Linked DNA regions of Elephas maximus indicus. The protein of the gene in region 4 interacts with the protein of the main gene of each other region in a pairwise test. Links are inferred from orthologs where the notes say so. Each region holds a gene or a part of one and is shown on either strand. Other genes may lie near its edges.

Region 1 (7,104 bases), on a different chromosome or scaffold from region 4:
CATCAACTAAGACTACTTTGAATAAGAAGACTTGTTGTTAGCTCCTATCTAGTCAGCCCCCATGTACAATGGGATCAGCCCATTGCAATCCTTGGGGTTTCATTGGCTGATTTTCAGAAGTAGATAACCAGTCCTTTCTTCCTAGTCTGTTTTCACCTGGAAGCTCTGCTATAACCTGTTCAGCATCATAGCAACACTCAAGCCTCCACTGACAGACAAGTGGTGGATGCTCCTGAGGTGCACTGGTCAGGAATTGAACCTAGGCCTCCCGCATGGAAGGTGAGAAATCTACCACTGAATCACAACTGCCCCCTACCCAGTCAACACCCAGCACCAATTCCAGACATACGAGTGAGCCATTTTAGACATCCAGTTCATATGAGTCTTTAGGTGATTGCAGCTCCAGTTGCAACTGACTGGAACCGTCTGAAAGGCCCCTCAGCAAGAGCTGCCCAGTTGAGCCCAGTCAATCCACAGACCCATAAGAGATAACAGAAAATTGTTACTTTAATAAGTTTTGGGGTGGTATGACACACAGAAGTTGATAACCAGAACATCTGATGACTCTCCAAGGCAGTGGACATTGTGCAGTGATTCGGTGGTCCCAACTACTTTGCAGCTCCACCATCTCAATATTTGGCATCCACTATCATGTTGAAGAAGAAGGGAAAGCCAAAAGTTCACCCAGAGCTTTATACTCTCAGGCCAGACCAAACCAGTGTCGTTTTTGCTCACAGCCTATTGGTCAGCACTAATCACACGAACTGCCTAATTGCAAGATGAGCTAGAAAGCGTAGTCTCCTGAGCACACAGGAAGGAGAAAAATATAAAATATTGATAATGTCTACCATATCCGTGTGTCACTTTCAGTTTTTAATTATAAAATATTTCAAACACAACGAAAAGTACAATGATCAAATAATAGGTTCCTATCAGTGGGCACCCCGGTAGCGCAGTGGTTAAGTGCTACGGCTGCTAACCAAAAGGACAGCAGTTCAAATCCGCCAGGTGCTCCTCGGAAACTCTATGGAGCAGTTCTACTCTGTCCTGTAGGGTCGCTATGAGTCGGAATTGACTTGACAGCACTGGGTTTGGTTTTTTTTTTGGATCTACTCAGTATCCAGACGTCTAGCTATTCTAACCACACATAAAAAAAAAAGCTTCATTTGTAAAAAAGACTAAAAAACCAAAACCAAACCAGTTGATTCCGACTCATGGCAACCCCACGTATGCAGAGTAGAAGTGCACTCCATAGGGTTTTCAATGACTGATCTTTTGGAAGCTGATCATCAGGTCTTTCCTCCGAGGCATCTCTGGGTATATTCCTAATCACCAACCTCTCTGTTAGCAGCCAAGTGCTTAACTGTTTGCATCACCCAAGGACTTCATAAAAAGATTGTTGGGTATTTAATGACCCTAAGGAGTTTTCTGTGGATATTAGGTGATATTTGCTGATTAAAATCACCTTTCAAAAGACGTCAGGTTCAGACTTCTTAACAGAGCCCTTCCCAGTCACTCCTCAACTCGCCTTTCTGGATAGCTTATAGCTTTTCCTCCCAAAACACTCATGAGAGAATGTTGGTTATTTTTGCGTCCTTTCATCTACTTATACTTCTTTTGGTAAGAGTATCCCGAATTTCCCTTGCAATCATTTTTACCTCACTCTCAACAAAGCATTTGGGGAGTATCTTAGGCTGGGTTCTCTATAGAAGCAAAACCAGTGAAGTGTGTAGATAAATATATATGCACATATATATGGTGAGAGAGAGAGAGATTTATCTCAAGGAAATGGCTCACTTGGTTATAGAGGTTGCGAAGTTCCAAGACTGTGGGTCAGGTGTCAGTCTGGAGGCTTCTCCTGACTCACGTAGCTGCCGGGGCTGACAAACCCAAGATCGGCAGGCAATATGGCAGGCCATTGGCTCAAGTCCCAAGAGCCAGAGGTCAGATGATGATGAGCCAGATGCAGGATCTGGAGTGAGGAAAAGCTAGCTAGTGTTGGATGCAGGTCACACACCCAAGCAAACTCCCCTTACAACTGATTGGCTGATCACATCAGATCATATCACAGAAGTGATTACATTAAATCGCAAAATGAAGGATAACTATATCATTACATAACTGCCAAACCACTGAGAATTGTGGCTAGCCAAGTTGACATAACCTTAACCATCACAGGGGATTGATCCACCCTCAGTTCCAAGGATGAGCGGAATTATGGCATCAGGGCATCCCATAGTCCCAAATACAGTCATTGGTTCCGTCAGAATGAAGCCCAGGAATTTTATTTGGCAATTCAGGGAAGAGATGGTCTCTTTCCTACTGATATAAACAAAAAATCATGTAACCCCAGGACCTGTTGGCATCCATTTTGGGACCATAAGGAAGTCTGCCCTAAGATGCCCGCTCACACAGGGGAAGCCAGAACAGAAAGACAGAATGAAATGAGACCCTTGACATCATCAAATCTTATCTAGAGCCTGAACTACCTCTGGACTTTTTAAGTAAGTGAGATGATAAATTCTCTTTATTATTTAAGCTTTTTTTTTTTTTTTAAGCTAGTTGGGTTCTGTTGATTTCAACCAAAAGACTGCTAATTAAAAATACTGACACTACGATTTAATCACATAGAGTCACTTTCAGTTCTCTAAAATACATGTACTTTCACTTCAAAATATGGTTAAAATAAGCTCAGAATACATTGAGCATTGTCACCAGAAAATGCATGATCAGGGCCCCAACTAGGGCTATTGTCGTGGCTGAAGAATAAAATCACCATCTGCAGCATCTAGGACACATTTTTGCAACTGAGAACATACCAAATTTCCTGCTGTTTAGGAGTGCCATTCCTTAAGCGTTGACTTGTAGACATCTGTGATTTCAGCACATCTTCGGGAAAAATAACTGTGCGCGGCTCTCACACTTGAGGTCTAAGCTTCTCTCAAAACTATTTGCTGAGCAATCAGGTTGGGCTCAGCTGAGAAGAGATCTTGACCCACTGTAAGTCCCTCAGATGAGGCCTGACAGTTCACGTATGTGAAGCATGTGGGCAGAGAAGCCCCTATTGAGTCAAAGCTATGCTTCTACTTCCTGATGTGGTCATCTGAATGGGGAAGTGTGTGTTCCTCTGAGTGTGTCAGCTCCAACCAGTGTTGTCTGAGAAAACTGGAGAGAGTTTCAAGGTAATGGACAGACAGGAACTGAGGAAACATTTTTCAGTCAGAGGAACACGGCTCTTCCTTCCCTTTTGTGTGATAACACTGTCATCTTCTTACCACGTTTGAACAGCTAGAGAAGCCATCAAGAAAACAATGATATAACAACTTTTAAAAATTGCCAAGACCTTCCAGAAATAGTGTGGTGAATGAAAACACGTGACTTTAGTCTTCTCAGTCATACAAATCCATCTTTTCTTGGGTTACTACAGTTTGTTCTACCTCCCTTGCCCTTTCCCTAAGGAGACCCTTCAGCTCTCTGAGTGCTGACAAATACTGATGCGTTCCAGACGATCTTTTTAGACCTCAGTAGCAATGACGGATGTAGCAAATCCACTCAACACAAAAAGAATTTTTGAAGACTTCACAATTTGACAAGATGGGCACCCAGTTCAATCTGCCCTTAAAATGCAAGGCTATCTTGATGTGCATTTCTGCTTATTGCAAAGCTCGGAAGAGCACTTACGTTATTTGTAATCACTGATCTAAGTCAAAGCGCTAGTGTCAAGGTCAGCTTTGTAAGTCTCCACAAACTTTTAAGAGAAAACTGTAACTGTCCTTTTTGCTATTTTGATCTCATAGAAGTAAAATGTAAGAAAGGGAAAGAACATAATTATCACCTGCACACACTGAGCGAAAGGATGAGATTATAGAACAGTGGTAGAAAATATATACAAAATCGGCAAGATGACTCATAAGTACAGTAACTGAAATAGCTCAGCTTTTGTATATGGTGGGACAGATCTGCCAACAACTAACAAATGTAATAGCATAATGATAACTTGGGACTAGGTTTATTTAAAAGGTCCTATCAAGCACGCCTACGTATATATATATAAAAACGTATATAGCGCCAGAAAATGCCACTGACTTTCAGCAAACATGGCTATCAGCCCATGGGGAGAAAGGTAAGAAAGTCACCCACTGGCAAATTCCACAGCAACAACTGCTCTAGCTTTAATGTGGCCCCCTCACGTTCTGCCTACGTGCTCAAGGAGTCACTGGGGTGTTCACCAGTTAAGCTGCAGGGGCCACACCTCTGGCCAAGGCTGAGGCAAGCTTCCCTTATTTCCCTTTCTTCTCTTCTGCACACCTCAGGCTGCTTCCAGCCTTCTCAGTTTAAAGCCAATACCCCCATTCACTTCTCTCCTCCAAGGCTGGAGATGCAGGTTTGCTTGTTTTACTCATTCACTATTGTTGTTGCTTTTGAGTCTCATGGTGACTCCACGTGTGCACAGCAGAACTGCTTCATAGGGTTTTCAAGGCTGTGACCTCTCGAAAGCATCTTGCCAGGCCTGTCTTCCAGGGCACCTCTGGGTGGGTTTGAACCACTAACCTTAAGGCTTAACCTTTTGTGCCATCCAGGGACTCCACCCATTCACAACGCCTCTCTAAACACAAATACATTATAACCTTTCCAAGCTAAGTCTCACTGCGTATCACCTCAAGGAAACAGGCAGGGAAACCCTCTGGACTCAATAAGTCTTATTTGCTAAGTTCTCACCTTCTATGTCCTGGCCTATAATCTGTGATTCCCCAGAAGTCTCTGGGACTCTGCATGCTCTGTAAGCTCTGTGCTTAACTTGTATTTCTGAGCATGGAACTCACCCTTCCCTCCCGCTCTCCCTCAGAGTGGATGAATTCCTAGATGAGGGCCTCCCTCTTAGCCCTTAGGCCTGCGCTTCCAATCAGGGCTGAAGGATGGGGTCAGCTAGTATCCCTCTGGTGCCATTGTTCTGAAATAAAAAAATGTACCTTTCTGAGGGCCCTTAGACTGGAGGACCCTTCTTGCTAAGTGTTCCCTACTCCACAGAGAGATGATTCTCTCCAGGCTTTTCCTCACACACCGCACACAGAGCAAAGAGTCAGGCCACCTGATTTAGGAGATAATATTGGAACCATTATTCTCTGTCTTGGAATGTGACCCACCTGGAGCTGGATTCACAAGGACACATCAACTGGGCTCTGAGGTATAAAGACAATAGCTAGGACAATTTTGGAAAACATCTTTTAGGGAATCTTTCACATAAACAAATCATAAAACACAGCACTAGTGACCCTCATGCTTCCAACTTTTATCGTTTTTTACTAGCCTTTAATGAATAGTAAGATTTGTTGGACCAGTGAAGACCCTCCTGACTGTCTTTACTGAACCTGTACCAATGATTGTTAAGAATGACAATTCAAAATGTAGAATCAGAGATTTAGCAGTTTCTAGCCAATCTGTGAAAAGGTGAAGCTTTCAATGGTTTTGCCCATTAGCATGCTTGTCCATTTTCCCATTCTTGCCATTCTGTAACCCTTGGACTTGGGCAGACACGGCTCTGGCAGCATACTTAGCCATTTTCCCACTTTTGTCTATTCCGTAATATTCCTTGGACTCAGACAGATATATCTGTGGCAGCATGCTTGTCCGTTTTCCCATTCTTGCCTATTCTGTAATATTCTTTGGATTTGGGCAGACATTAGCTCTGGAAGCATGCTTGTCCATTTCAACTTTTGCCTATTTGAACAAACGCCGAATAAAGCTTTCGTTTTGCTTTACTAAACTTTGTGATGTTTTCACCCTACAACATGCCCAGTTTCCAGTCCTTACTCAGCCACTTGCTTGCTACCTGGGTGACCTGGCCGCACATCTCTGAACCTGCTTAGGCTTCATTTTCATCACCCATACGGTTGTGGAGAGGTTTCGAAGAGATAGTCCACTTAGCACAATTCCTGGTACACAACTAGAATTAACGCCAAGAATCTTGTCAATGTTGGGTTGTGACAATCCAGGACCTAATGAGTTAATGCTGGGCACAGCAGGGGGCCTCCTGGACTTTGCTCCCTCACTGCAGCTGGTTATACAGTGTGCTAGATGCAAAATCACACAGAGAGATGTGTACTAATGGGCCATCAAACAAGGGAGGGTGAGATGGGAATCAGGAGTAGAAGCAAGGAGGGGTGGGAGGGAGCAGGATGGAAGGGTGTCTTTTGTCTGCAACCTGGTGGGGCAAACAGGATCTTACTGGTGTATGGCACCTGAGAAAGGTAGGGAAAATTACTGCAGTAGTTTCCTGTGGCCACCATAACCAAATATCACAAAGCAGATGGCTTAAAAACAACAGAAATTTGTGTTGGAGGCCAGAAGTTAGAAATCAAGATGTCAGCAGGGCTCCACTCCCTCTGAAGGCCCTAGGGGAGAAATTTTCCTTGCCCCTTCCAGCTTCTGGTGGCTCCTGGCATTCCTTGGCCTGTGACAGAATAACTTCAGGCTGCGCCTCAGGCTTCACGTGGCCTTCTGCCCTCTGTGGCTCTCTGGGTCTCAAATCTCCCTCTGCTGTTTTCTTATATGGACACCTGCCATTGGATTAGGGCCCACCCTAAATCTAGGATAATCTCATATTGAGATCCTTAACTACATCTGCAAAGACCCTTTTCCAAATAAGGTGACATTCACAGGTACCAAAGGTTAAGACTTGGACATGTCTTTTTGGGAGCCACTATTCAATCCATTTTGGTGGCACAGTGGTTAAGTGATACAACTGAACAAATGGTTGGCAGTTCAAATTCATCAGATGCTCCTTGGAAATCCTAAGGGCAGTTCGACTCTGTCCTCTAGGATCGCAATGGATTGGAATCAACTCCAGGGCACACAGCAACAATGAAGTAGGTAGCGAGTCCCCAGGTGGCACAAATGGTTAAGTGCTTGACTACTAGCCATAAAGGTTGGCAGTTTGAACCCACTCAGAAGAAAGTCCTGGCAACCTGCTTCCAAAGGTCACAGCCTTCAAAACACTATGGAATGCACCTCTACTCTGACACACGCTGGGTAGCTGTGAGCTGGAATTGACCAGACGGCAACCGGTTTGGTTTTGGTTTTGGTTTTGGAGGTAGGAAGAGAGAG
Region 2 (7,612 bases), on a different chromosome or scaffold from region 4:
TTTCACTCCTAATTAGCCTCTGGCTTTGGGGAGGTTACTTTGTTTTTCTATGCCTAGTTTTGTCTACGCTAAGACTGACTCCTAGAGTTGTTAAACCAAAACCCAAACCCAGTGCTGTCAAGTTGATTGGATTCCAACTCATAGTAACCCTATCCCAAAAAAAACCCAGTTTACTGTCTTATAGTAACCCTATAAGACACAGTAAAACCGCCTCATAGGGTTTCCAAGGAGCAGCTGGTGGATTCGAACTACAGACCTTTTAGTTAGCAGCTGAGCTCTTAACCACTGCACCACCAGGGCTCTCCTAGGGCTATTACAAGGGTTAAACTGCAGAGTTTAGCAGAGAACCTGCACGTAGTAAGTTTCAGTAAATATCAACACATCTTACATGCATTTGCAAATGAACCCCAACAAAAATAGACAAATCTATTAACCTGCTCTAGTATTATGGTGAAAAGTTCCTGGGTTCTAGTTCTAGTTTCAACACTGACATACTGAATAATCTCAAGCAAGTTGTCTCCTCTTTTTGAACCTCAGTTTCCTCATTCTTCACATGATTAAAAAATCCAGCCAACATCAACACCCATTCATGACAAAAACCCTCAGAAAAATAGGAATAGAAGGAAAATTCCTGAACATAATAAAGGGCATTTACACAAAGCCAACAGCCCACATCATCATAAATGGAGAGAGTCTGAAAGCATTCCCCTTGAGAAGGAGAACCAAAAAGGAATGCCCTTTATCACCACTCTTATTCAACATTCTGCTGGAGGTCCTAGCCACAGCAATTAGGCTACATAAAGAAATAATGGGCATCCAGATCGGCAAGGAAGAGGTAAAAGTATCTCTATTTGCAGATGACACGATCTTACACACAAAAACCCTAAAGAATCCTCAAGAAAACTACTGAAACTAACAGAAGAGTTCAGCATAGTATTGGGATACAAGATAAACACATAAAAATCAGTTGGATTCCTCTACACTAACAAAAGGAATATCAAAGAGGAAATCACCAAATCAATACAATTAACAGTAGCCCCCAAGAAGATAAAATACTTAAGAATAAATCTTACCAGAGATGTAAAAGACTTACACCAAAAAAACTAAAAAACACTTCTGCAAGAAACCAAGAGAGACCTGTGTAAGTGGAAAAACGTACCTAGCTCATGGATAGGAAAATTTAACATTGTCAAAACGTCTCTTCTACAAAAAGCCATTTATAGATACAATGCAATTCCAATCCAAATTCCAACGACATTTTTTAATGAGATGGAGAAACAAATCACCAACTTCATATGAAAGGGAAAGACACCCCGGATAAGTAAAGCATTCCCGAAAAAAGAAGAACAAAATGGGAGGCCTCACTCTACCTGACTTTAGGACCTATTACACTGCCACAACAGTCAAAACAGCCTGGTACTGGTACAACAACAGATACATAGATCAATGGAACAGAATTGAAAATCCAGACATAAATCAATCCACATATAAGCAGCTGATATTTGAAAAAGGCCCAAAGTCAGTTAAATGGGCAAAAGACCATCTTTTTAACAAATGGTGCTGGCATAAGTGGATATCCATCTGCAGAAAAATGAAACAAGACCCATACCTCACTCCATGCACAAAAACAAACTCAAAATGAATCAAAGACCTAAATATGAAATCTAAAATGATAAAGATTATGGAAGAAAAAATAGGGACAATGTTAGGAGCCCTAATACGTGACAGAAACAGTATACAAAACATCACTAACAATGTAGAAGTGAAACTAGATAACTGGGAGCTCCTAAAAATCAAACACCTATACTCATCCAAAGACTTCACCAAAAGCGTAAAAAGGCTACCTACAGACTGGGAAAAAGTTTTTAGCTATGACATTTCTGATCAGCTTCTGATCTCTAAAATCTACATGATACAACAAAAACAACTACAAAAAGACAAATAACCCAGTTAAAAAATGGGCAAAAGATATCAACAGACACTTCACTAAAGACGACATGCAGGTAGCTAGCAGATACATGAGGAAATGCTCACAATCATTACCATTAGAGAAATGCAAATCAAAACTACAATGAGATTTCATCTCACTCCAACAAGGCTGGCATTAATCCAAAAAGCACAGAATAATAAATGTTGGAGAGGTTGTTGAGAGACTGAACACTTATACACTGCTGGTGGGAATGTAAAATGGTACGACCACCTTGGAAATCGATTTGGAGCTTAAAAAGCTAGAAACAGAACTACCATATGATCCAGCAATCCCACTCCTTAGAATACATTCTAGAGAAATAACAGCCTTTACAGGAACAGATATGTGCACATCCATGTCCACTGCAGCACTATGTACAATAGCAAAAAGATGGAAGCAACCAAGGTGCCCATCAACAGATGAATGGATCAATAAACTACGGTATATATATTTTTTATATTTACACAATGGAACACTACGTATCGATAAAGAACAGCAAAGAATCTGTGAAACGTATCATAACGTGGAGGAATCCGGAAGGCATTATGCTGAGTGAAATTTGTGAGTTGTAGAAGGACAAATATTGTATAAAACCACTATTATAAGAGCTCGAGAAATAGTTTAAACTGAGAAGAAAATATTCTTTCATGGTTACGAGAGGGGGAAGGGAGGGAGGGAGGGAGGGGGTATTCGCTAGATAGCAGATAAGAACTACTTTAGATGAACGGAAAGACAACACACAATACAGGAGAGGTCAGCACAACTGGACTAAACCAAAAGCAAAGTTTCCTGAATAAACTGAATGCATTGAAGGCCAGTGTAACAGGCACAGGGGTTTGGGGATCATGGTCTCGGTATATCTAAGCAATGGGCATAATAAAATATATTAAGAAAACATTCTGCATCCCACTTTGGAGAGTGGCATCTGGGTCTTAAATGTAGTAAGCAGCCATCTAAAATGCATCAATGGGTCTCAACCCTCCTGGAGCAAAGGTGAATGAAGAACACCAAAGACACAAGGTAATTATGAGCCCAAGAGACAGAAAGGGCCACATAAACCAGAGACTACATCAGCCCGAGACCAGAAGAACTAGGTGGTGCCTGGCTACAACAGATGACTACCCTGACAAGGAACAACAGAGAAACCCTGAGGGAGAAGAGCAGTGGGATGCAGACCCTAAATTCTCATTAAAAAACCACACTTAATCATCTGACTGAGACTAGAAGAACCCCAGAGACAGAACTTCTGTTAGCCCAAGACAGGAACCATTCCCAAAGCCAACTCTTCAGACAGGGATTGGACTGGACAACAGGATAGAAAATGAGGCTAGCGAAGAAAGAGCTTCTTGGATCAAGTAGACGCATGAGACTATGTTGGCATCTCCTACCTGGAGAAGATATGAGAGGGCAGAGGCGTCAGAAGCTGGCTGAATGGACTCAAAAAGAGAGAGTGGAAGTAAGGAGTGTGCTGTCCCATTAGAGGAAGAGCAATTAGGAGTACACAGCAAGGTGTATGGAAACCCTGGTGGCGCAGTGGTTAAGTGCTGCGACTGCTAACCAAAGGGTCGACAGCTCGAATTCACCAGGCACTCCTTGGCAACTCTATGGGGCGATTCTACTCTGTCCTATAGGGTCACTGTGAGTTGGAATTGACTCAACGGCACTGGGTTTGGTTTTCGGCGGGTTAGCAAGGTGTATAAAAATTTTTGTATGAGAGACTGACTTCATTTGTAAACTTTCACTTAAAGCACAATAAAAACTAAAAAAAAATCGAGCCAACACTTACTGAGCTTCTACTACCAGACACACTATCTTCCTGGCTCCCTCCCTGGCAGGAGCTAAGGGCTACAAACAGTGACCTATTCTACTTGGCAGAGTGCACTCAAGAGAGTGGTGACAGATACTAAAGGGGTGGAGGCTTGATTTCACTGCTACAGGAATAGAGTGAGGGTCCGAAGATTCACAGGGAAAATGACATTTGAAGAAGACTTGAAGGATGATTCACTGGCGCTTGCCTTTCAAATTCCAGCATTCGCAGAGATCACCTTATGAAAATAAGCCCACTTCTCTTTTCTCATTTCCGAGGTCACTGTGACAAAAGAATTCACCGGAGCTGCATGAAGCAGTTCACGTCTCCTATTCCCCACCAAGATTCTCGCACACATCGAAGCCCCTTAAGAGAGGAGGGGCTGGAGGTGCACGCTGAAGCCAGTCCATGCCGGCCAGCGTCTAATTTTAGAAAATCTCAAACGGAAAAACACTGAGGGGTTAAGCTGAGCGTAGCACTGGTGGCCCAGCCTCTAGAAGAGCGCTCCAAGAGCCGCGCGTTATCTCGAAGGACCGGGGAGCTCCGGGAAGGATCCTGCTCCAGGAGGATTCCTTTGCAAAGATGGGGTCTACAGCGTAGGAGCCATTATCTACACTACCGGCAGCGTAGCAGAGCTGACGATGCCGACTGCTTCAACATCCACACTCCGGGAGATGGGCGCAGGTCGCACTCCCGCAAGGTCACGTGAGCGACGCGGACACGTGCCTGCACCCTGGAGAGAGTCGCAGGCGGGGCCGGCCGCCCAGCCTCCCGTGAAGCCTCGCGCGGGGAAGGACCGGAACTCCGGGTGGGCGGCTTGTTGATAATATGGCGGCAGGCACTGCCCAGGCATCTCTAGGAGGCAGTAGGGCCCACACCCGGAAGAAGGGTTTGTTTTCGGGCTAGTGCGGCGGCTGAGGCAGACCCGGAAGTCCGGGCCAGTTGCTGAATGAGGGGAGCCGGGCCCTCCCCGCGACAGTCCCCCCGGGCCCTCCGCCCTGACCCGGGCCCCGCCATGTCCTTCTTCCGGCGGAAAGGTAGCTGAGGGGCGCCGCCGAGGCGGCGGGGGGCGGGGGGCGGAGGGCGAAGGGGGAAGGGGGAAAGGGGCGGTGGGCCTAGTAGGGCTTCTCTCCGCTGTGGCTGCGAAACTCTTACTGAGCCGCTCGACCTCCGTGCAAAGACCCCTTGCTCTGCTCCGGGAATTTGCTGGGAGGGAGAAAGTGGCCTCCTCGTGCGTGGTCAGAGAGAAATTGTCGCGCTGCTACAAGAGTGTTGCTGTAACCCGTGGAAGTTAATACCTGCTTGCGTAAAGGCAGCTTTTCGGTTTATTTGCGTAATATGCCTCAAAAAAAAGAAAATATGTTTAGTACTTTGTTACAGGAAGTCTCTGATATTTCAGAATACTGAGGGTTTTGTTTTTAAAGGCAACGCGTGAAAAATTTTTTTCAACTAGTGCTATTTTCCAGTTTCGTATTTTCTGGGGGGAGAGGGCGGGAGGACTACTGCTGTTTCTAAAATAACATTACTTAGCTTATGCTAAAAGTTCGCTAATAAAGAGGACTACTTCTTTTGATGATTTAGCATGTTTATTAACCACTGGAAACCTAACTTTATAAAAAACTACGTATATATCTGATTTTCAGTTGTAGTAACTGCCCACATTCTAAGTAGAGACAGCTTGGTTCTTGATCCTGGGTAAAAAAAAAAAAAAAGTTGTATTTCATTAAAATTACATTTCCAAAGTGAACAAGTGTGAGTCTCTTTTGATGGTAGTGTCTCTGTGTCAATTCTTGCTTCAGAGAAAGTGTACCGCGCATAGGTGGGTTTTGGAAAAAGCACTAAACTAAATCAAGGACTTGGGTGCACATGATAGCTCTACTACTAACTGTAAAAAAAAAAACCACTGCTTGGTAAAATTCCTTAACTACTCTCAACTGAAAATGAGGTGATTCTAAGGCTCCATTCAATTCTTGACTAAGCAAATTAAAGAATTTCCGTATGTTTTTGGGGTTTTAGTAACTGATGCCAGGTGATAAACAGTGGTGAATGAATGAAATTGGTAAAATAGCATAAGGAAGCTTTTTTGTTAAGGTAATTGCTCTCATTTGAGAGTGTCGAAGTGATGAGTTTTTGTTTTTGTTTTTTTAAAGGGGATAAAAGCATTCTAAGTATTAAAATAAAAAAAAAAAACCCAAGTATAGTGAAGCAAATTGCAATTTAACGCAACAGATTGTTGTCTCTATACAACACTTACTGAGTGCCATCTATCTGCCAGGCACTGTGCTAAGCCCTCACGATTGAGCAATGAACAAAACAAAGTCTCTGCACTAATGGAGGTTATTGTCTGCTTGGATAGACAGACAATAAACAAACAAAACTTTGTATTTACACACGTATGTTGTTGTTAGATGCCCTCCAGTTGGTTCCGATTCATAACGAGCCTATTTATAACAAAACAAAACACTGCCGGGTCCTGCAATACCCTCACAATAATTGCTGTGTTTGAGCCTGTTGTTGCAGTATTCTTTGCCAACACCGTAATTCAAATGTGTCAGTTCTTTGGCCTTTATTATTGTCCAGCTTTCTCATGAGTGTGAGGTGATTGAAAATACCAGGCTTGGGTCAGGCACATCTTAGGTCAGAATGTTCAAAGTGACATATTTGTTTTTCAACACTTTGAAGAGGACTTTCGCAGCAGATTTGCCAAATGCGATACAAAATTTGATTTCTTGACTGCTGCTTCCATGGGTGTTGATTGTGGATCCAAGAAAGTGAAATCCTTGACAATTTCAGTACTTTCTCCGTTTATCATGACGTTGCATATTGGGCCAGTTGTGAGGATTTCTGTTTTCTTTATGTTGTGGTGTAATTGATAATGAAGGCTGTAACCTTTGGTCATCATTGGTAAGTGCTTCCAAGACAGATTTGTTTGTTCTTCTGGTAGTCCATGGTATATTCAATATTCTTCCCCAACACCGTAATTCAAACACACCAGTCCTTCAGTCTTTCTTACTCATTGTTTAGCTTTCGCATGCCTATGAGGCAGTTGAAAATGTCATGGCTTGGGTCAGGCATGCCTTATTCCTCAAAATGACATCTTTGCCTTTTAGCACTTTAAAAAGTTCTTTTGCAGCAGATTTGCCCAGTGCTATAGATTGTTTGGAAACCCTGGTGGCGTAGTGGTTAAGTGCTACGGCTGCTAACCAAAGGGTTGGCAGTTCAGATCTGCCAGGCGCTCCTTGGAAACTCTATGGAGCAGTTCTGCCCTGTCCTGTAGGGTCGCTATGAGTCAGAATCGACTCGATGGCACTGGGTTTGGTTTTTTGGATTCGTATAGGTCGGTTGGAGCCCTGGTTACACAGTGGTTAAGGCTTGCCTGCTAACCAAAAGGTTGGCAGTTTGATTCCATCAGCCACTTCTTGGAAACCCTATGGGGCAGTTCTACTCTGTCCTGTAGGGTCGCTATGAGTCGGAATTCACTCGATGGCAACAAGTTTTGTTTTGCTTTTTGATACTGTGATGGTTAAGATTGTGTGTCAACTTGGCTAGGCCATGATTCTCAGTGTTTTGGCAGTCATGTGATGTGGTCACTTCACTTTTGAGATTTGATATGTGAACACCCCCATGAGGGGATCTGCTGTGAATAGCCAATCGGTTGAAGGGGAGTTTCCTTGGGTGTGTGGGCAGACCTTCTGAGAGGGCTCGGGAGCTTTTGTTCATCCTGGATCCTGCAGCTGGCTCCTGTTCGTCTGACCTCTGGTTCTTGGGTCTCGAGCTTGCAGCTTACCTGCAGTCTTGCTGGCTGATCTTGGGATTCATTGATCTTCACAGCCTGT
Region 3 (5,648 bases), on a different chromosome or scaffold from region 4:
AGTTTTTCTATTGTTTGCTCTTTTTGCTTGTTTCATTGATTTCTGCTCTTAGCTATATACTCTTTCCTTCCTTATTCTTACTTCTGGTTTAATTTACTTTTCTTTTTCTAGCTTCTTGAGGTGAAAACTGAGATCACTGATTTTTAAACCTTTCTTCTGTTCAAAACCAAAAACCAAACCCATTGCCGTGGAGTCGATTCCAACTCCTAGTGACCCTACAGGACAGGGTAGAACTGCCCCATAGGATTTCCAAGACTGTTATCTGTACTGTATGGAAGCAGACTGCCAAAGCTTTTTCCCAACGTTTTGGTTAGCAGCTGAGCAGCCAACCACTGTGCTACCAGGGCTCCCTTCTTTTCTGTTACAAGCATTTAAATCTATATAAATTTCTAAGTTGTGATTTTATTATTTCGTTGAACGTGTATTTTAATATCCCTTGTCATTTCTTCTTTGCCTCATGGGTTATTTACAAATGTGATGTTTAAGTTCCAAATATTTGGGGCTTTTCTGAGGATTATTTCTAACTGAATTCTGTAGTAGTTAGAAAATACACTGATTTCAAACTTTTGGTGAAATTTGTTGAGATATGTTTTACGGTCCAACATGTAGTCTATCTTGTTAAATCTTCCATATGCACTCGATAATATGTATCCTCCCGCTGTTAGGTATAGGGTATAAATGTCAGTTAACTCAAGTTGGATCATAGTGTTATTCAAAAGTTGTATTCTTTCCTTACTTTAGGAGAGTAATTTTGAAATCTCCAGCTATGATGGTGGGTTTCTTTTCCCCTTTAAAGGGTTCTATCATTTTTTTACTTCATGTAATTAGTTGCATACACATTTATAATTGTCATTTCTTCCTCACTGACATATTATAAAATGTCCCTGTTTATCTCTCATAATACTCCTAGTCTTAAAGTCAGTTTTGATATTAATATAGCCATTGCAGCTTTTCTTATGCTTATTTTTTGCATAGTATATGCTTTTCCTAACTTCTTGCTTTCAATCTCTCTGTATTAGTTGTATTTAAAATGCATGTCTTATAGTATGTAGTTGAATCTATCTTTTTAACCACTCTGATCATCTCCGCCTTTTAACTGGAATTTTAAGTCCATTTCCTTTCAAATTTTTGATATGATGAGTTTAGGCCTGCTACCCCTCTTGTTTTTCTTCCTATGTTCCTCCTTTTCTGCTGCCTTCTGGATTCAATGTATCTAATTCCTAATTTAAGCCATACTTTTAAGTCATATTTGTTTGTATTATCTTTTTAATGGTTGCTCTGTTCAATTTTTTAAAATCTTTCTGTCCCCTCTGTCTTAGTTATCTAGTACTGCTATAACACAAATACCAAAAGAGAATGGCTTTAGCAAACAAAAATTTATTTTCTGGCAGTTTAGGAGGCTAGAAGTCCAAATTCAGGGTGCCAGCTCTTGGAGAAGAAGGCTCTCTCTCTCTGTTGGCTCTGGAGGAAAGTCCTTGTCTCTTTTAGCTTCTGCTCCTGGGTGATCTTCATGTGGCTTGGCATCTCTCTTATCCCGTCTCTGCTTGCTAGCTTGTGTTTAATCTTTTTTATGATTGACTCAAGATACACCCTACATTAATCTCTCATTAACATAACAATAACCCAAATGGGACTGTAATCACAATCATAGAGGTTAGGATTTACAATACATTTTTGAAGACAGTTCAATTCATAACACCATCTGTTCTTTAGACTGGATATAGATTTTTGTTCACATTCATTAACCATTTCTTCTGCATTCAATCTTTTTAGTTCATATGAGTTTTCAGATAATTGTACATTTTAGGTCTAGTTCCCATTTTTTTTTTTTAATATATATACCATTTCCATTTCTCTGATAAAATCCCCTATTTTATACTGTCTTTATGATCATTTTATATCCTTTATGTCCTAAAATATAAATAGCTGCTTTAAAGCTATTGTCTTCTAATTCCAAGAACTTTAATTCTGCTCCTAAGACCTGCTTTTTTCCTCGATTATGGGTCACATTTTCCTGCTGCTTTACATCTAATAATTTTATATGATGGACATTGTGGATAATAGCTTGTAGGGAATATGAATTATGCTATCTTTCTTTAAATGGTGAGTTTTGTTAGCATGGGACTATTTCTATTTGAACTTTGTCCAAGAGCATGACCCTTGCTTTAGGGAGGGGTTGGAATAATACAGCCTATAAAAAAAAAAAAAAAAAAATTTTTTTTTTTTATAGGCTTGCCTCCTGTTTTTGTTAATGAAGTTTTGCTAGAACACAGTCATGCCCGTTTGTTTACATATTATCTGTGGATGCTTTTCAGGACGCCCGGTGGTGTAACCCTTAAGCAGTGGGCTGCTAACCAAAACCCTTGACAGCACCAAACAACAACATGCATGCCTTTGTGCCAAACAGCGGAGGTGAATAGCTGTGACAGAGACCATATGGCTCACAAACTAGCTCTTTAAGAAAAACGTAGTCAACCCCTACTCTAGGGTATGCTCCTGACTCCTAAGGTGTCACCTCTCTAGAACAGAGAATATCACTTTACATAACTAAGTACCTGAAGTGTTCAATGAGGTCTCTCCACTCTGGCTAGTCTGGAACTCTAAGGCCTTCCGGTATCACTGTTCAGCTCTAAGCCCCAGAGCAAGTAATCTTTTGCTAAATCTTGCATATCCTCATCCTGCACATGTACATCCTAGCCAAGTATCCTTGGTGAGTCTCCACGGCTCCCTTTTCTCTTGAACTGTCTATTAATTCCAGCTGCTTCAGCACCCCAAAATTCTGCCTCAGCTCAGCAGAACTGCTACTCTCAACAGAAACCTAGGATGATCAATTGTAGGGCTTAATACCATGTGTTTCCCTTGTACTCAGGAAGCACAGTCCTCTGTTGCCTGTTGTTCAATCCCTAGAAATATCTCTCCACATACATTATGTCTAGTTTTATAGTTTTGGGTGAGAACAAATCTGGTACTAGTTACTGTTATAGTCAGACAAAAGCTGCTTTTGCAAAATTAACGATTCTAGGTAACACAGATTATTCTATTCATGGCCTTTTATTTATCTGACACTCAGTGAGGTCTCTAATCTTTTTCAGGTTAAATATGTCCAGTTCCCTTAACTAATCCTCATTGTACAAAATAGATACTACATAAGTCATCATATGGTAGAGATGCACAACCCTGACAGTCCCCATCTTCAAGGAGCTCACACACATCCCTTCTTCCCCTTTTAAAAGACATCTCGAAATCTTCCTGGAACATGTAGCAGGGCCAAAACCACCAAAACCAGTGCTGTCAAGTCGATTCCGACTCATAGTGACCCTATAGGACAGAGTAGAACTGCCCCATAGAGTTTCCAAGGAGCGCCTGGCGGATTCAAACTGCTGACCCTTTGGTTAGCAGCTGTAGCACTTAACCACTACGCCACCAGGGTTTCCTGTAGCAGGGCATACAGGACTAAATTATAAGTAGAAAGCCAGCTCTCCTATGTCTATCCCCATATGATCCTTAGGAGGCAGGGCAGGGAACAGATGTAGTATTGAGAGAAATCGGGTAGAATTTATACAGGTCAGAAAAATGTATAACAGTAGGCCTGAACAAAGGTCACTTTTTATAGACTTCTTTAATTTTAAACTATTAAAAATAGAATTAAAATACATGCTAGTTTTTACTTAATATCAGTGTTTTCAGAAATAGTTATTTCTGAATTTTATTCATTTTTAGAGGTATTTCTTTGGTCCATAGGCTTTAAGACATATTAAGAGACCATTAAGACCTCATTCATTGCTTGTTCTCTCCTGTGGCCAAACCTCCCTCCAGTGAAGTTGTTTTGTCTTGTTTCCAGTCACCCTTAAATCCTGAGTTCATTCAGTGACAACATCCCAGCTGGGAAGCTGAGAAGGAACTTCACAAGCCTTGGAGCCTACTCACTGTCTAAACACCAAAAAGTGGCAATGAGATACTTAACATTAATTTGAGCTTTCCATATCATTTCACAGGGAATATCTAATTCAGAAGAAGTAGGTGGCTTTGCCATGTCTAGACTGCATTGTTTCGAATTTGCACCAGTGTAAGGATTATCATTCTTTGCCACTGCTTGAGTTGTAAACATTTGACCAGGGGAAAAGCCTTCCTCTGGTAGCAGCCAAAGATGAGTAGGCTCCTGAGATTTGGGTCAGGAGCAAATTTTCATATGCTTGTTTCCCCTGACAGTATGGATCAGAGGTCAGCAAACACTTTTTTGTAAAGGGCCAGATAGTAAATATTTTAGGCTTTGCAGGCCACATGGTCTCTGCTGAACTCAACTCTGATGTTTGTTGTAGTGTGAAAGCAGCCATAGACAATACGTAAATGCATGTGCATGGCTATGTTCTATTTACAAATTAAAAAAAAAAAGCAGCTGGGATTTGGCCCATCGGCCATAGTTTGCTGACCCTTGGTATAGATAAATCTAAGCTATCAAACGTTTAACTGTTTTCAGTTTTATACCACTTTTTCAAGATCTTGAAAAGATATTTTCCTATCTTGTAAATTGCCATTTTTATTAAGTGATTGCCTTTTTTGATGAGATAAAGCTGTTTGTTGTTACTGCCTATCTCCTCCAAGTGCTAAGGAGGACTATTTTTACATGCCACCTAATCATAGAATATTTTGCATTCTGTAACTTCAAAATGAAACAAAACCTCCCTTCTCTCGACAGATAAACACTACATGTGAAGAGTGGTGACGGGAACACTGATTCCCCAAGTGGCCCTAGAGAAGGAAAGCAATCAGTATCACATGGACTTACCCTTCGTGTAGCCAAAGATGCTGTTGAAATAGTCTTTCTACTGCTTTCCTCCCCTCGGTCAAAACTCTTCATACCATGGGCTGCATGAAATCAAAGCAAACTTTCCCATTTCCTACCACACTTGAGAATGAGAAACGACACTCAAGTGAAGAAAACTTTATGCCAGAAGAGAGATTTCTACCAAGGATGCCTTCTCCAGTTGTCGAAGAGAACGTGAAGACGCCCCCAGAGCCCAGTGTTGTGGTCCTAGAATATGCACACCGTCTGTCCCAGGAAATCCTGAATGATGCCTTGCAGCAGTGGGCATGCAATAACATCAAATACTGTGATATCCCATACATTGAGAGCGAGGGGCCTTGATGGTAGGGTGATGACACTTTCTTAAACTGTGGTTATAGTTGGTGCTAGTTTTAAATATATGAAACAAAAGCAAAAATGGTGTGAATAAGTACAGATAACTCTATATGGATGTAAAAAAAAAAAAGGCCTATGATAACTTCCCTGGTGTAGGAACACAAGACGAAACGTGTTTTAAGCAGTTTTACATTAATAACAGCATTTTCTACCTGCTTGATCCTGGATTTTAGTCACTTAAAGGACACCACAATAATCAGCTGCATGTCACACCACTTTCTTCTTGAGGCAGTAGCAACATCACCAAAGAAAATGCTTAAGAATAAAAAGTGCCCCAGGTTCCAAATGCTTAAGGCATAACTTTAAAATAACATATTTACACAAAAAAGCTAAAGATATGAAAAAGGTTTTTCTTGGAATGCCTTGGCAGGGCAACAGCACTCAAGCCATAATGATAATTAGTGGGTCTTGTTTCTTAAAATCATTTGTGTCAAGGATCCCCACTTTT
Region 4 (7,012 bases):
ATGACATGCAGACCACACATCAGCTAATAGGTCGTTTCCTAGAGATGCTTATTAATATTATTTTCCAGGACAGGATAAGGTGCCTGTGTGGCACAAATGGTAAAGTGCTTGACTTGTAGCCGAAAGACTGGTGGTTTCGAACTCACCCAGAGGTGCTTAGGTAGACAGGCCTGGTGATCTGCTTTTGAATGTCACAGCCTTGAAAACCCTTTGGAGCAGTTTTAGTCTGCAGACACTGGCTGCCATGCATGGATGGCAACTAACAACAAGACAGGATAAGGGATTTACCTCAGCCAGAATTCTAATCTGCAAGCAAAGAAAGGTGCGTCTGAGCCAAGCCATGGTATTTTCAATTGCATCATATGCATGTGAAAGCTGGATAATGAATAAGGAAGACTGAAGAAGAACTGAAGCCTTTGAATTGTGGTGTTGGTGAAGAATATTGAATACACTATGGACTGCCAGAAGAAAGAAAAAATCTGTCTTGGAAGAAGTACAATCAGAATGCTCCTTAGAAGCAAGGATGGTGAGACTGCCTCTTATATACTTTGGACATGTTGTCAGGAGGGATCAGTCCCTGGAGAAGGACATCATGCTTGGTAAAGTACAGGGTCAGCAGAAAGGAGGAAGACCCTCAATGAGACAGATTGACACAGTGGCTGCAACAATGAGCTCAAGCATAATGATTGTAAGGATGGCGCAAGATGGGGCAGTGTTTTGTTCTGTTGTGCATAGGGTCGCTATGAGTCGGAACTGACTCGAGGCACCTAACAACAACAACAAAGCAAAGAAATAAACTCTAGGTGACCCAAACTGGAAAGGAGTTTACCGAAACCATATTGGGGCTGATACAGTGTCTGGGAGGGTGTAAGACACAAGCTTGGTGCTATGCCAATCAGGAACAACCCTTGAAATCTCGAATACATAGATCTATCCTTAACCAATGGAAGCTTTAAACTTGACCACTAAGAAGTGGGTCACCAGAATATTCCTTCCTTTTATATTTCAGTTCTCTTAGTGTTACTCCTGCTTACTAAATATACCACTGGTAATTATTATTCTTTAGAAAAATTTTGATGTTGTACAAACATTATCACAGCAATTAAGGAATACTGTTTTAAAGGGATAAATTTACTTACAACCCTACTACCCAAGAAACCTTTTTTTTTTTTTGAGCTCTTCTAGGACACAGGCCAAAGAGCCCTTGCGGTACAGTGGTTAGGTGCTCAGCTGCTAATCAAAAGGTTGGTGGTTCGAATCCACCCAGTGGCTCCTTGGGAAAAAAGACCTGGAGATCCGCTCTGGTAAAGATTACAGCCTAGGAAACCCTATGGGTTGTTCTATTCTGTCACATGGGGTCGCTGTGAGTCAGGATTGACTCGATGGCACCCAACGACAATAACAGGACACGGGCCAAAGGTAAGGCCAGCAGACCTTTGGATCAAGGGCAGAGGGCTTCTGGCAAAGAGGAAGCCACACTGAAACTACAGTGGAACATAGGTCATGTCCACGGGTCATGAAACATAATTTATAAGTCGGTCTTTTTCTCTCAGTGGCACAGCAGCTCTGGAGGAGTATCTGCGCCATTTGGAAACCACCGAGGCTGTTTGGCTTTTCCGAACAGCTGTCTCGGTAAGCTCGCCCAGGCTCAAGGACCTGCTGCCCGTTTCCCTTTCTGTCTTTTGAAGCTCCAGCATATGAGGATTTGGCAGCTAGAACAAGGTTGTGCCGGCTGACACAGGAAACGGCCCGTGGCTGGCCTAGCGCCTGAATGCAGCTGAATGGGGACACACACCCAGGCCAGAGCAAGGAAGCAGCTGCCACTCAAAGCATTGGGCTCAATGTCACCAGCTAGCTTGTTTCCTTGTCCTAAGTACCTTGAGTGCCTTAGGAAGGTAGCACTAATGGGGGGACACAGAATAACTCAGTTCTAAACCTTGTAGTTTGGGTAGCTCTTTAGGAAAGAGGAAGAGAAATGGGGAGTAAATCAACATTTATTTAATGCATCTCACACCATGCTGAAGGAGCCCTGGTGGCGCAATGGTTAAGGGCTCAGCAAATCTTCCAGTGGCTCCGAGTGAGAAAGACCTGGAGGTGCGCTCCCATAAAGATTATGACAGCATAGGAAAACCTGTGGGGCAGTTTTACTGTCACATGGGCTCACTATGTGTCTGAATCGACATGAGGGCACCTAACAACAACAACATGCTATGGTGGAACTTCATTTATGCATATACTGCCAAGGAGAGTTATTAAGATTACTGCCTGGGTGTGAATCCCACTAGCTGTGTGGCCTTGGGAAAGTCATTGTACTTCTCTGTGCCTCCTTTTCCTTCTATAACAATAACAATAATAATACTATTACCTATGTCAGAGAGTTATTATGAAGATTAAATTATTATGTGTAAAGCACTTAGTGCCTGGAACTTAGTAAGTGCTGTATGTGTTTGCCGTTATTATCTGTTAATTAATTTCAGTGCAGCTCTGCTTATCCTTTTACAAATAAAGAAACTGAGGCTCATGGAGATTAAGTCCAGGTGGCAGAGCCTGAAACCAAACTCGGATTTATCTGACAGCAAGGTTTCTTCCTAGAACATGACCGGGCCTGCTCAATGCTATCAAATTCCCTCTCTTGCTTGCCAGCTCAGAGTTCAGTTTATCAGTCCCTTCTTTGTATCGACAAGGGTGAAATCTTATATGACTGGGACTCTGTCTTTAATCCCCCATTCGGTCCACTCCGTCCCTGGGAAAAGGCCAACGGCCAACATGTGGGGGGTCGGTGGGGGGAGAAACTTTCCTCCTATATTCCCACCCGTGGGCCTAATCAGCTCTCTGATATTGCCTTTGCTTCCTCTGACTAGCAGAAAGCAAGGGATAAGCATAACTGAATAAAATAAGTACGCTGATGAGCAGGACCCTCATCATAACCTGATGGATTTAGGGGAGCGGTTGGATCCCTAAGCCAGTGCCGTCCAACAGAAATATAATGGGAGCCCTGTTATATTTAAAATGTCCTAATGAAAAATCAAACCTGTTGCCGTGGAGTGGATTCTGACTCAGTGACCCTACAGAACAGGGTAGAACTGCCCCACTGGGTTCCCAAGGTTGTAAATCTTTATGAAAGCAGAGTGCCACATCTTTCTCCTGCAAAGCAGCTGGAGGGTTCGAGCTGCAGACCTTTGGTTAGCAGCCCAGGGCTTGACCACTGTGCCACTAAGCTTCCTTCAAAAAAGTAAATAACAAAGGTGAATGATTTTAATAATATTTAACCTAATATGTCCAGAATATTAGCATTTCAACCTGTAATCAATATAAAATTTTTATACAATAAAAATTATCTGTTTTACACCCCCCCCCTTTTTTTATACTGTTAAATCCTTCGTGCATTTTACAGATACAGCCCTAGAGCTATATAGGATGTGAGCACAAAAGCTACTGGCCAGACACTTGGATTCATGTCCTTGAATGGCCTTCTTCCTTCATTTAGCACTCTTATCCGTCTAAAACTGTCCCCTGCGGCAGATGAGAGCAGATATTCTGATGGAAAGAAATGTCTGAAGGGCTAAAGAAGTCGCTTTTTGCCTGAGTTTCCCGTATTAGTGCAGTTTTTGCAGGCAGTCTACGTTTCTTGTGTGCTGATAGAGCGTTTGTGACAATCTGCATGGCTCTCCATTTATTACCATGTGGGGTCAGGCATGATGATGGGGGTGGGGGGGGGAGGGCACGTCGGATTCTAGAAAGACTCGGGCCTCCTCGTGGGCCCTGACGAAGTCCTTTCCTGGGTCTTGTGCCCATGGAGACGGTGTGGTCCCCATTGACGACAGCTCCTCCAGAGGGGAGAGTGGCTTGGACCGCCAAGCAGAGTCTTGGCAGGGCTCAGATTTCCTGGACCGATGGCTGCGCTAGCCTGGAGCACCGCGCGGCGCTGGCCCTGCATAGGATGAGCGGCGGGGCGTGTGCATCCCCGGCATCCGCCCGCGCTCGGCCGGTGGCGCAGCTGCAGCAGATCCGCCAGGGCCTCCGCCCCCTCCCGGGCCTGGAAGCCGCAGGAATCTCCCGGCCCCCGGCCCCGCGTCCTTCCCTGCAGGGGCCGTGGGGCGGAGTCGCCCATCTGTCATTCGAGACGACCCACGTGGGCCGGCTCGGGGGTGGTAGAGAGGGAGGAGAAAAGGCAGAGGCGTCGAAGGAGGCCTGAGAGCGGGGAGGAGAGAGGAAAGGAGTAGACAGAAGAGGAGAGAGGGGAGCGCACTAGAGCCCCGGGGAGAGGGAGCGAGGTGCAGAAGAACGAATAAAGGGGACCTGAGACATCCAAAGAGGAACAGGTAAGGAAGGGCGGATGAACAGGAAGGAGGGTAGAACGGTACTGGAGAGCGTGGGGAAAGAAGAGGTGGGAGTGGGAAAAGGGCTGCAGAGGAGGGACGCTGTGAGACGGAAAGAAAAGCAGGAGACGATTTTAGAATGAGTAGGGGCGAGCGCTGCTCAACTGGGGGTCGGTGGGTGGGGGCGGGAAGCGAGCAGGGCTGCTGCGCCTTTAAGGTTGCCAGGGCGACGGCTCTGGCCAGAGCGAGGCGCATTGACGTCAGCAGCCGAGCGCTGATTGGCCGTGGCGCGGTCGTTTCCGGTGGAGCCGCCGCGGAGCCGCTTATCGGTGAGTGGAGCGGGGCTGGGAGGGAAGCGCTGAGGGAGCTCGGCACGCCGCAGCCTCGCACCTGCAGTCCCGTGCCCGCCGCCGCCCGTCACTAGGTAAGTGGGGTTGGCCGGGGGGCCTGGGGCGGCGCGTTTTGTTGCCCTGCCGCCCGTTTGGGGGCGCTGGACCGATCCAAGATGGCGTCTCGGGGAGCGACCTGCAGGGGACGGCCGCACCCCCTGCCCCTCCCCGGCCTCTACAGGCGCTTCTCTGCAGGCCCGCGCCCCAGGCCGCGCCCCCGTCCTGGGTCTGCAAACCCGAAGCCTCCGGGTCGCCGGGGCGTCTGCTTCGGGCCAGGGCTCCCCGGCGGCCCCGCCCCCCGCCCGCGCGGTCCCTGCGGCCTCCCCCGGCCCTCGGCACCCGGCCGCCTCCGCCCTCGCGCGTCGCGGTCTCCGCGCTCGCCCGCCCCCCTTTCCTGAAGGACGGCAGCTCGATTTTGCTGGAATTCGCCATCGTTGCCCCCGATGGTTCTGCCTGGTCTGGAGGCGCAGCAGTTCTTCTCCTCTCTGCTCCGTCTCCCTCCTGTCATTTCCAGCCGTCGTTTTCTCTGGCCTTCCCGGGACCGTTTCCCCCCACACGATGATTTTGGCCTGGCCCCTAAATTTTTTTGTCCCCCTTCATTGCCCTTTCCCGGTTCTCCCCTCCCCCGCGGCCTCCCGACTAGAGTAGGAGGAGGGGTCGGCCTCCTTGCGTTTTGTGGTCATGACCGTGGCAGAAGCCAAGTGAAGGACACTGTGCTGTCCTTCCTCTCGAAAAGACGCGATAGCTATTACTCCTCCAGCTCCTTGCTTGTATGGTGCCAGATGACTTACTACTGGAGAGATTCTCAGGAGTGACATCTTTTTAGCAGAGGAAGGAAAGCTAAGGCTTCAGAATGACCCCAACGAAGTGTTGCTTGGCCGGTCTGAGGGGTTGCGGTCTGAATCAGGAAGTTTCTCAAAATATTTAAGTCTTTGCGTGTAATCCTTTTGACACTGAATTTTATCACAACTGCATTTCCAAAAGAAAGAGTGTGAATGTTTCCTTATGGGTAGAGACAATACAGTAAGTTTTAATGTAGTTAAGTGATTTTGAGGGGAAAGCTAAGTTGTTGAGGGTTTTTAAAATGAATATAAATACAGGGCGAATCCAGAGATAGTCAATTACAAATATTAAGATTGTGGAATTCAGAGATTCACTTTGTGACTGCATTAATCTTGGGGCATTTTTATTCATATACTGCCTTATTACCAATGTCTTTTTTGTCTTTTGAATACATTACTTTGTTTCAAACAAGAACGGTCTCTCCTCTTGGACCCAATTCTTTTCATCTCTACCAGCCAAGGACCTGCTCTTTGAATGATTTCGCTGATCAGCTGCATAGTTCTATGGATATTTCTGAAATACATCTGAATGTTTTGAAGCAAAAAGATCTGATTTATCATTGTTCATGGTGGCCTTCAGTATTATTTGAAATGCAGAAAATTTTACTGAATGTATTTCTGTTCATGTGATTGTAATTGACTGACATGAAAAAGTGACTGGTATAAACCTATCCTAAAGTAAAGAAACTTTTTTTTGAGTGCTTTTTTTTGAAATAGCAGCATGATTCTTTTTCCATGGCCTCTAATTTATGGGCTTGTCAAGGAGCCACAAACTTTCTCAGGGTCTATTAATTAGTCTACTTGTTACTGACCTTTATTATGAAAGTTGTCACAACAAAATGAGTAACAGTGTAGCACTTTAGAATAGCTCTTTATCCTGGTATTTCTGTTTCTCAACTTTTACATTTAGAGTTTCATCTCTCTGGTTTGTGGTTTTGCATTATAATTGAAAAAAAGTCTGATTAGTATTAAATTCAGTTGCAGAGTAGAGGGGACCATGCTTTTTATCTTCTACTCTTAATTGCTTAAGATCTTTCCTCCTTAAAACCACTGGGTAATTCTGTTATTTAGGGCTGGAATCTGGTAAGTGATTGATTCTAGAATAAAAGATTGCTTTGAAAACTCATTTGGGGTTCCATTTGTGTCTTTTGACTTTGTGATTACTTTAGTAGTTGGCTAATCAGATTCTTTGCTCCAGTGGTTTGCTGTGTAACATCAGGAGATCCCTGTGGGACAGGAGTTACGTGCAGGGAATGTCAGATGTTCTTCGTTGTGCTTACTTGCTTTCATTTAGAGCTGACCTGTGTGGCCTTGCAACTCTCTGCCCTGTTTACCGTTTACACACTTCCCACGTCATCATGATGTCTTTTGCAGGGGAGAAGTGAATGAAATTTCCTTAAGGGCTTGACTTCTCAGCAGCCCGCCTCTGCAGGGAATAGTGGCTCATACTTCCTCCCAGGAG

What was found.
Region 1: the proteins of PRKAR1A (region 4) and PLEKHF2 interact in binary tests that used the Homo sapiens proteins (3 or more experiments, as listed by UniProt). The two-hybrid records come from large-scale screens. The link is inferred for Elephas maximus indicus from reciprocal best matches to the Homo sapiens genes PRKAR1A and PLEKHF2.
Region 2: the proteins of PRKAR1A (region 4) and AKAP10 interact in a two-hybrid assay, tested with the Homo sapiens proteins (3 studies listed by BioGRID and IntAct). The link is inferred for Elephas maximus indicus from reciprocal best matches to the Homo sapiens genes PRKAR1A and AKAP10.
Region 3: the proteins of PRKAR1A (region 4) and C6H2orf88 interact in binary tests that used the Homo sapiens proteins (3 or more experiments, as listed by UniProt). The two-hybrid records come from large-scale screens. The link is inferred for Elephas maximus indicus from reciprocal best matches to the Homo sapiens genes PRKAR1A and AKAP19.

What each region holds. Positions count from the first base shown.
Region 1 is NC_064833.1:46,884,717-46,891,820, forward strand, and holds the start of PLEKHF2 (pleckstrin homology domain-containing family F member 2), read right to left. Parts: upstream 3,022-7,104; 5' UTR 2,820-3,021; intron 1-2,819. UniProt on the Homo sapiens protein: May play a role in early endosome fusion upstream of RAB5, hence regulating receptor trafficking and fluid-phase transport. Enhances cellular sensitivity to TNF-induced apoptosis.
Region 2 is NC_064820.1:212,340,362-212,347,973, forward strand, and holds the start of AKAP10 (A-kinase anchor protein 10, mitochondrial), read left to right. Parts: upstream 1-4,592; 5' UTR 4,593-4,725; coding exon 4,726-4,813; intron 4,814-7,612. UniProt on the Homo sapiens protein: Differentially targeted protein that binds to type I and II regulatory subunits of protein kinase A and anchors them to the mitochondria or the plasma membrane.
Region 3 is NC_064824.1:88,403,581-88,409,228, forward strand, and holds C6H2orf88 (small membrane A-kinase anchor protein), read left to right. Parts: upstream 1-4,861; coding exon 4,862-5,146; downstream 5,147-5,648.
Region 4 is NC_064837.1:58,913,771-58,920,782, forward strand, and holds the start of PRKAR1A (cAMP-dependent protein kinase type I-alpha regulatory subunit), read left to right. Parts: upstream 1-4,012; 5' UTR 4,013-4,322; intron 4,323-4,555; exon of another isoform or gene 4,556-4,648; intron 4,649-4,654; exon of another isoform or gene 4,655-4,743; intron 4,744-7,012. UniProt on the Homo sapiens protein: Regulatory subunit of the cAMP-dependent protein kinases involved in cAMP signaling in cells.